Linked DNA regions of Chlamydomonas reinhardtii. The protein of the gene in region 1 interacts with the protein of each later gene in a pairwise test. Links are inferred from orthologs where the notes say so. Each region holds a gene or a part of one and is shown in the gene's direction. Other genes may lie near its edges.

Region 1 (3,907 bases):
CGGTGAGTGGCTGTTCCACGCCGCCGCCTTGGCCCCCTGTCGCAGGTGCACGTGCAGGTGCATGACCAGGTACTCGGCGGCTGCCGTGTGTCTGTGGTCCGCTGCGACCTGTCCACGCATCCATGCACAGAGGCCGAACAAGACACGCAAGCAGCGGTCACGGCGAGACAGATGTACGAACACGGATGTAGAAGCAGGTAAAGGATGACGAAAAGCATCGGTCGAGGTCTTGCATGCGTACAGCGCACTTCCGTGCTACGCTTCCCAGTTCCCACCGTTCCCTGCATATTGCGACGGGTCAGCGTCATACAAAAGTACCGGTTCAAGACCCACCGTCAATGCTTTGACTGGCTCGTAGCCGCAAGAGTGCGACACCAGCCACCTGCAGCGCGCCACGACGTTGCACTGCACGGCCAGCTCAAACGCTTGCGGCCCCCATGAATTGTTCTCCAGGCTGTCGGGCTCACACCAGCTTTTGCTGTAGGCGTTCTGAGGGCACGACTTGGACGGGTTGATGGTCCTGTGCCGGGGCTCGCAGGACAGGGTTGTTGTGGCTCCGTCAGGCAGCGTCATGGGGATCTCATTCTCTGGCAACCGATTGGCAATGTGCTCTGCGATCTGAGATATCCAGATGCACGACGCCTTCCCTGGTAACCGCCAATACCTGCGTGCGGACAAGGGGCATCGCGGGGGTAACACACAGAGGGCTAAACGGGCTGGCAAGACAAGTGCACGGAGGTGGCGCGGACTTCTAGGTGACTTCTGAGTCAGACCCCTGGGTCAACACAGGCACACGTCACTTCAGCCTCATAAACGTTCAATTTCCACTGACTAGGTTTACTCTGAGGTCTCAGCACTGGCTGGGGTGATTTCGGAGTTGCTTCTGGCAGACTTCCGATGCAAAGTGTAGCGCCCTCAGCCTTGTTTCACAGCACAGCAACACCTGACACCTTCTCAGCACTGAAAATGTACATGGAAGAGACAAGGGCCGAGAACTGGGCTCGGGGCGATGTAGACAGTAGAGAGCCCTACTGCTGCCAGCTGCCTTGTGCCGCCGCCAAAAGGCCAAAGCTGGGTTGCATAAGCCCAGGAACGGAATGTGGCGACGAGGCTGTGTCTAGTAGACATGGCAGTCTCTGTTGCGAGGTTGCATGGGCGCTTCCGCGATTGGACGTGCCGAATCCGGCAGTGGGCTACTAGACTAGGCGGATCCTACATAGCGCGTGCTTACGACTGTCTTACTGAACTGCAGAAGAGCCACTGCTGTTGAAAACCAGTTTCTGACCGCCCTTTCGCAATAGGCCGAAATGAAGAGCGCCGAGAAGGTTGTGGCTTACTTCTACGATGAAGAGATAGGAAATTACTGCTATGGCGGGGGCAACCCTATGCGCCCGCACAGAGCGCGAATGTGCTACTCGCTGGTTGACAGTTACGGGCTCACAAAGAAGATGATGGTGCAGCGGCCACGTCCTCGGGAGTTTGAGGAGCTTACGGATTTCCACGCGGACGGTGCGAGTGGAGAGGGCTGACCGGCGGGCGACGCAGCGCACAGCAGGGCGGGGAAAGAGGGCGGTGCTGCCGGCTCCGCTGGTGGCCTCCATAAGCGTCACTAGACTCATACTATGTTTTCAGCTTCGTTTGCCATGCTGCTATTAAGGTCAAGGGCCCACCAGGCTTCTCATTCCCGCCTTGTGAACCCCGACTCAGATTACATCAATTTTCTGCGCGGCGTGACGCCCAACACGGTCGATGAGAACATGATGCAGCTACGTCGCTTCAACATGGGCATTGCGGGAGAGGCTGACTGCCCGGTCTTCGACGGCATGTATGAGTATTGCCAGGTGAGGTGGGGGGGCATGCGATGTGCCGGCCGGGTTGATGAGCTGCGATGGAACCCACGGCTAACTCGTGCGTGCAACGAACACCCTGTAGACGTACTCGGGTGGCTCAGTGGACGGCGCGGCGCAACTGGCCAGCGGCAACGCGGAGATAGCCTTCAACTGGTCGGGTGAGCCAGCGGACCTGCAGCACGGCGACAGATATTATGACGCTTGCGCCCGGGCCTTGGCACGCTCCTTATCAACGGCGGGGGGCGTGAATGTGTTAGTGTGACACGTTTGCAGAGCGTCGTCCTTGCGGACGGTAGGCGGGCACATGTGCCCGTCGGAGGCTCTTCAGGAGCATCCCCGGCTCTTGGGCTGCCGCCGCGTGTCTATGGCCGACCGCAGCAGCAGCACTCGCGCGCGGGGGCGCTCCATGCAGCTTGGGGTCTGGGGGACGCGCTGTAGCGCAGAAGGACGCCAGCCGCGTTCCATCCGGGCTGCTGAGCCGCGGCCCGCATTGGCGCATTTTGCTCCGCCCTGCAGGCGGCATGCACCACGCCAAGAAGGCGGAGGCCAGCGGCTTCTGCTACGTGAACGACATCGTTATGGCCATTCTGGAGCTGCTCAAGGTGGGCGAAGGGTTTTACTGAACGGCGGCTGAGCCTGAAGGGGTGACTGAGCAAAGCAGAGGAACTGGAGTGAAACAAGCGGCCCGGGGGGCCGCGCGTTGGGCGAAGGGACGGGGTGCTGTATGTGCATGAGTGGCGTTTGGGGTGGCGCTAGCGGAGGAGACCAGGGAAGGGAGGGCACGCGTGGAGGACACGGTTGCGGAGGACTGCAGCGAGTCGGCTGCTCGTGGCCTGGGGCCTCAGCAGGCGGTCTGAGGCAGCGAAGAGGAAGCTTTGCCCGCGCTGCGGCGGTTACCCCGTGTGCCCCCTCTCTGAACGCGCGCCGCGCTATGTCTGTGTGTGTGGCTGCAGACGCACGCTCGTGTGCTGTATGTGGACATTGACATCCACCACGGCGACGGCGTGGAGGAGGCGTTCTACCTGACGGACCGCGTCATGACGGTGAGGGGGGGGGTGCGGCGGGCAGGGGCAGTCGGGTCGGAGCCCAAGCTGGGAGCAGGGTGTCCGAGGCTGGGGAAGAGGTTAACAACGGCTGGCCGGAGCCCAAGAGCCCAAGGGGGAGCGGTGTCTGAGGCCAGGATTCGGGCTGACAGCGGCTGGGGCTGGAGCTGAAGGAAGTATGCAGGAGCTTGGCGTAGCGCTGAGCCAGCGGGGCTGTGGGTGGCGGCGGCGGCTTTAGTTTGGGATAGCTGGGGGAAAGGCCAGCAAGTGTAAGGGTAGACGCAGCAACCAGACTGCCGATGGCACTGGGGCAAGGGAGTGGGTCCGTGGCATGTCGGCCGCAGCGACGAAGGCACAGAGCGGACTGGAGCTGGAGTGTGGGATGTGCGGTCAACGGACTGCAGCAGATTCCGGGAGGAGGGAGGCACGCGACGGGGGCGCGACGGCAGGGAGGTCGGGAAGGCACGCTAGCGGCCTGCCCCGCGGTTCCATAGGCATCGTAGCGTAGCTCCCAACGCGGTGCTCGCAACGGCCGCCGAACCCCAGGTGTCGTTCCACAAGTACGGCGAGTTCTTTCCGGGCACCGGCGCGCTGGACGACATCGGGTACGGCAAGGGCAAGTACTACACGGTGAACGTGCCGCTTAAGGACGGAATGGACGACGACAGCTACAAGCTGCTGTACGAGCCCATCATGCAGAAGGTGGAGGGGGAGGGCGGGAGAGGAGGGTTTGGCCGTGCCATGAAAGACGGGAATGAACACATGCCGCGCGGGAGGGGGTGGCGTTCACGTGTTGTAAGCGTCCGAGACATGCAGGCATTCCGACAGACAGTACTCAGGAAGCGGCAAGAATGCGGGGAGTGGCCATGTCCGTGATCCCGTGTCAGTCTTTGTTGTCGGTGTCCACATTGTGTCGCCACAGGTGATGGAGATGTACCAGCCCGGCGCCATCGTGATGTGCTGCGGCGCCGACTCGCTCAGCGGCGACCGCCTGGGCTGCTTCAACCTGTCGCT
Region 2 (3,774 bases), about 2.7 Mb from region 1:
CCAGTCCCGCACCACAGACTCACGCAGCGCCGCGGCGGCGTGGAAGCTGCGGCGGCACACCGTACAGGATGCAGGAGCAGGTCAGAAACTTTGACGGATGGGAATCACAGCACGGGGCCGCAGAGGGAACTAAACACGCGCGGGGTTCATACGGTAACCCGTCCGCCCCCGCTAAGCCTACCGAGCCCGAGCAAGGTGCTCCCCTCATCCCTTACCGTGCATCTATTGAGTGTGAGCGGTCCAAGATGTGGCGGCAGGCGCCTAGCACACCGGGGGAGGAGCGAAACTGCAGCAGGACCGCCGAGGCGGCAGCGGCGGTGGCGGGAACCTGCGACACCGCAAGGCAGCGCGCGTGCGTGTGCAGGCGACGGGGAATGGTCCACGGACCAGTTGCCTATTCTGTCTGGGTGCCGCTTCCGTGGCCCCTCTTCAATCCCAACCCGTCAGCCCGCGCAACACCCCCCTCGCCCCGCCACACCTTGAACTCCTCGCACGCCCGTTCCACCGCCGCTTGAGCTGCCTCCAGGTCCATTTTCCTAGAACGGTAGAGCCTGCCACACTCTCTACAACCTTTGTTTCAGCCTATAGCCCCTTTGTGGATCGCCAGCAGCTGCACGCCCAGCAACGCCGGGGAAGAGTTGGCGCCGGGCGACACTCAGGAATGCGGACGCACAATCAACGGCGGCCCGATGCACATTCCTGTATTTCCAATGTTTGTCTTGATGACTGTCATGTCAGTGTTCAAGGTGAATACCTTGGTTCTAGAAACAGAGGGGCCCCGGTAAGGATCGGTGCTGCGAAAGGGCAAACTGCCAGCCCAGGACCTATGAATAGTTGAAGGACATGATCCTAGCTCATAGAATTACATGACTGCTCAAACCATGGGGAGGGGTTTAGAGCATTGCATTCCTCATCCCAACTGAAGAATAGCGCTGTTTAACCTCCCCTTACCTAGAGCATAGCAAAGCATTGAATACGTGCTGAGCAGCTGCTACTGAGTGGCGCACCAACCTGCCCGCAAAATTGGTTGCACGCTGCGCAGTCCATTGCCTCTGAGTTGCTTCTGAAATTGCTTTTGACCAGCTACTAAAGTGCTTTAAGGCTTGGCGTAATTACAATAGCACCTGTTGAGAGAGATCCCAGCTTGTGTGGGCTGGTCCCTGGCGCTTGGCGAGCACCACCAAGGCGCAGACGATCTGAGGGTATGCCATGGATGTAGACTAGGGCGGGCTTGCACTGGGTATGGGGTGGGTTTGCGCTTGCCCACCAACCCGACACGGTACGCATACTCGCGCAGCGAGCACACCTGCGCACAACCGTGCCCTCGAGCTGCAACACGCGCTGCCCGCATACAGGAGCCCAGCCCAAGGAGTCCGTGCCAGCCGCGCCCACATAGCTGCCACCTCCAGCAGCCCCGCCCTCTCAGCAGTCCCCAGCACGCTGCATGGCAGCCATGTACCGGGGCGGGCAAGACTGGCGGGACGGGCCGCGCGGGGGGCCGCGCTTCAACGACGGCCCCCGCGGCGGGCCCTACGGCGGCCCGGGGCCCCGCGGTCCGCCGCCCGCCGCCTCGCAGCCCGCTGCGCCAGCTCTGGAGATTGATCGGGAGAAGACCTGCCCGCTGCTGATGCGGGTGTTCCCCAAGCAGGGCGGCCACCACAAGCTGGAGGACTTCACGGACCGGGCCAAGCTGCCCGACGAGGTGCGCGGTAGTGGGGCTGGAAAGGCATCAGGAAAAGGGGATCAGGTCATAGGTTGGTGAGCTGCGGCGGGGAGGATGCTGGGCGACACAATCTCCGAGGGCAGGAGACCCTTCGGGCGCGCTGTCGGCCGTGGGTTGAGCGGACAGGCTTGCCCGTGCAGGGTCCGCAAGCCCCGCATGCGCCACCTTGCCAAGCTTAGTGCCTCCTGACCTGTTCACACTTTGCTACCTAACTTGACAAGGCATGCGCTCGCAAACCCCATCTTGTCCTTTTTCGCCTCCACCTCCGCAGATTGCCATCTACACCTGGATGGACGCCGACCTGCGCGAGCTGTCCGACCTCATCAAGGAGGCCAACCCCGCCGCCCGGGCCCGCAACGCGCGAATGAGCTTCGCGTTCGTGTACCCCGACCGCAAGGGGCGCAACGTCATGCGACAGGTGGGGTGATGTGTGGGGGATGCGGGGGTTGACCAGGGTGGCGGGGATTGCTGGGGAGGGGGAGGGGGTTTGCGTGTCGGGCGACCGGGTGCAGGTGGGCGTGCCTGCAGGCTGGAGCGGCTCAGGGCGCGGGCGCGGAATCTGGATGCTGTACCAGCGCTGCGGCTATGCGTGGTTGAATGAAGCCTGAGGAGCAAAGAGCTCCATGTGATTTGGCGCCCTTGCCCGCATGGCCCGGCTCTGTGACACTTCTCCCCCTGGCGCTCCGTGCAGGTGGGCGTGGTTCACGCCACGCGGCCGGGCGAGGACGACACCAAGACGCTGCGCAGCCTCAACTTCCAGACAGGCGACTACCTAGACGTCTCCATCTACTGAAGACGATGCCTGTGTCATCTTCACCTTATCTTTACCTGTGGTGGACAGGTGTGGGGGAGGTAAGGCGGGATACCGAAGGTCTTGCGCTGGTGGAAGCAGGTGGCGCAGGACGTCATCCTGATCACTGGATGTACACTGGTTGGGGAGTGCGTCGGGAGTGTGCACTTGAGTGCTGCTCAGGCTGGTTTTTGGAGAGTACTCTTGGACCTACCTTGCCGTGGGTGTCCCTGGTAGCCAGGAGGAGGTGCAAACGCTACTCGCGCGTCTTGTGGGTGTCCCCAGTGTGTACGTAGTGTTAATGGCCTCCCTAGTGTCAAAGCGGGCAATTGAGGGAATGGAAGTGAGTGTTCGTGTTCGACTATCAGAGGAGGCCGATGCAGAAGAGTCATCTGTATGGGGGCGGACCGTGGGGGCGGGCGCGGAGTTGCACTTCGTGCACTGTAGCGAGTGCGAGGGACAAGTGGAGGAAGGCGTGGGGACAGCATGCCGGGCGACATCACAAGGATATTTGGAATGGTCAACTTGTTCGGAAAGATACAGGCACTGGCTTGTAATCACTAGAAAGTTCGGTGCCGGCATGTGTTGGCGCATGTCCCCAAGCCCTGCGAGCCCCTGAGGCACGCTGAGCCCGCAGCTGTTATGCGCCACGCCAGTGGAACTGTTCTGAGCCGCCGATTGGGCTTCCAGTGGCCGCGGATGATGCTTAAGAAGAGCCGCATTTTGGCATGCGGTGGCAACTGCGCTTTTTAGCGAAGGGGCCGCAACGTGAGCGCGCAACACATACGACTTGCACATTTTTTGCTTACACCCGGCGTCGCTTGGCGATCTGCCTTCAAACTTTGAAACGCGAACAGCCGATTGGGTCCTTCTACCTTGTCGAGGGTTGATGCGTAGTATTGGATCGGAACGATTTTTTGGTCACAGACGTATGAATCTCTAGCAACGTCAAACCGCGCCTGCGGGGCGCCCACTTGCCGGCCGGCACGTTTTCGCGTCAAGGCGCTGAAATGTCGAGTTCCTCCCACTTCATCACGCGCGGTGGCTGTGCTAGCAGTGGATGTCTACTGCAGCAGCAGAAGGATGTGACACACCGTGTGGACCCCAGCGCCGTCGAGGATCAATGCGCGAGCTTCCACTTGGGCAGCACAGCGCGGGCTTTCTCAAGAAGGAGCGTGTGCCGTATTCGGGTATCTCCCTCGATGACCTGGAAACGAGCCCAGCTCTGCGCGGCGGACCGTCGGAGCGCCGCGACGGACTG

The links.
Region 2: the proteins of CHLRE_09g387393v5 (region 1) and CHLRE_09g404400v5 interact in a two-hybrid assay, tested with the Arabidopsis thaliana proteins (2 studies listed by BioGRID). The link is inferred for Chlamydomonas reinhardtii from reciprocal best matches to the Arabidopsis thaliana genes HD1 and SAP18.

The regions. Positions count from the first base shown.
Region 1 is NC_057012.1:3,196,523-3,200,429, reverse strand, and holds the start of CHLRE_09g387393v5 (uncharacterized protein), read left to right. Parts: upstream 1-1,180; 5' UTR 1,181-1,307; coding exon 1,308-1,509; intron 1,510-1,707; coding exon 1,708-1,841; intron 1,842-1,932; coding exon 1,933-2,008; intron 2,009-2,366; coding exon 2,367-2,452; intron 2,453-2,803; coding exon 2,804-2,893; intron 2,894-3,439; coding exon 3,440-3,595; intron 3,596-3,815; coding exon 3,816-3,907. Other genes in the region: CHLRE_09g387430v5 (uncharacterized protein), read right to left, coding at 1-108, 334-573. UniProt on the Arabidopsis thaliana protein: Responsible for the deacetylation of lysine residues on the N-terminal part of the core histones (H2A, H2B, H3 and H4).
Region 2 is NC_057012.1:454,543-458,316, reverse strand, and holds CHLRE_09g404400v5 (uncharacterized protein), read left to right. Parts: upstream 1-937; 5' UTR 938-1,202; intron 1,203-1,355; 5' UTR 1,356-1,453; coding exon 1,454-1,702; intron 1,703-1,994; coding exon 1,995-2,141; intron 2,142-2,414; coding exon 2,415-2,516; 3' UTR 2,517-3,082; downstream 3,083-3,774. Other genes in the region: CHLRE_09g404350v5 (uncharacterized protein), read right to left, coding at 1-46, 216-328, 479-532; CHLRE_09g404450v5 (uncharacterized protein), read left to right, coding at 3,716-3,774. UniProt on the Arabidopsis thaliana protein: Links the histone deacetylase complex to transcriptional repressors bound to chromatin. Involved in the tethering of the SIN3 complex to core histone proteins.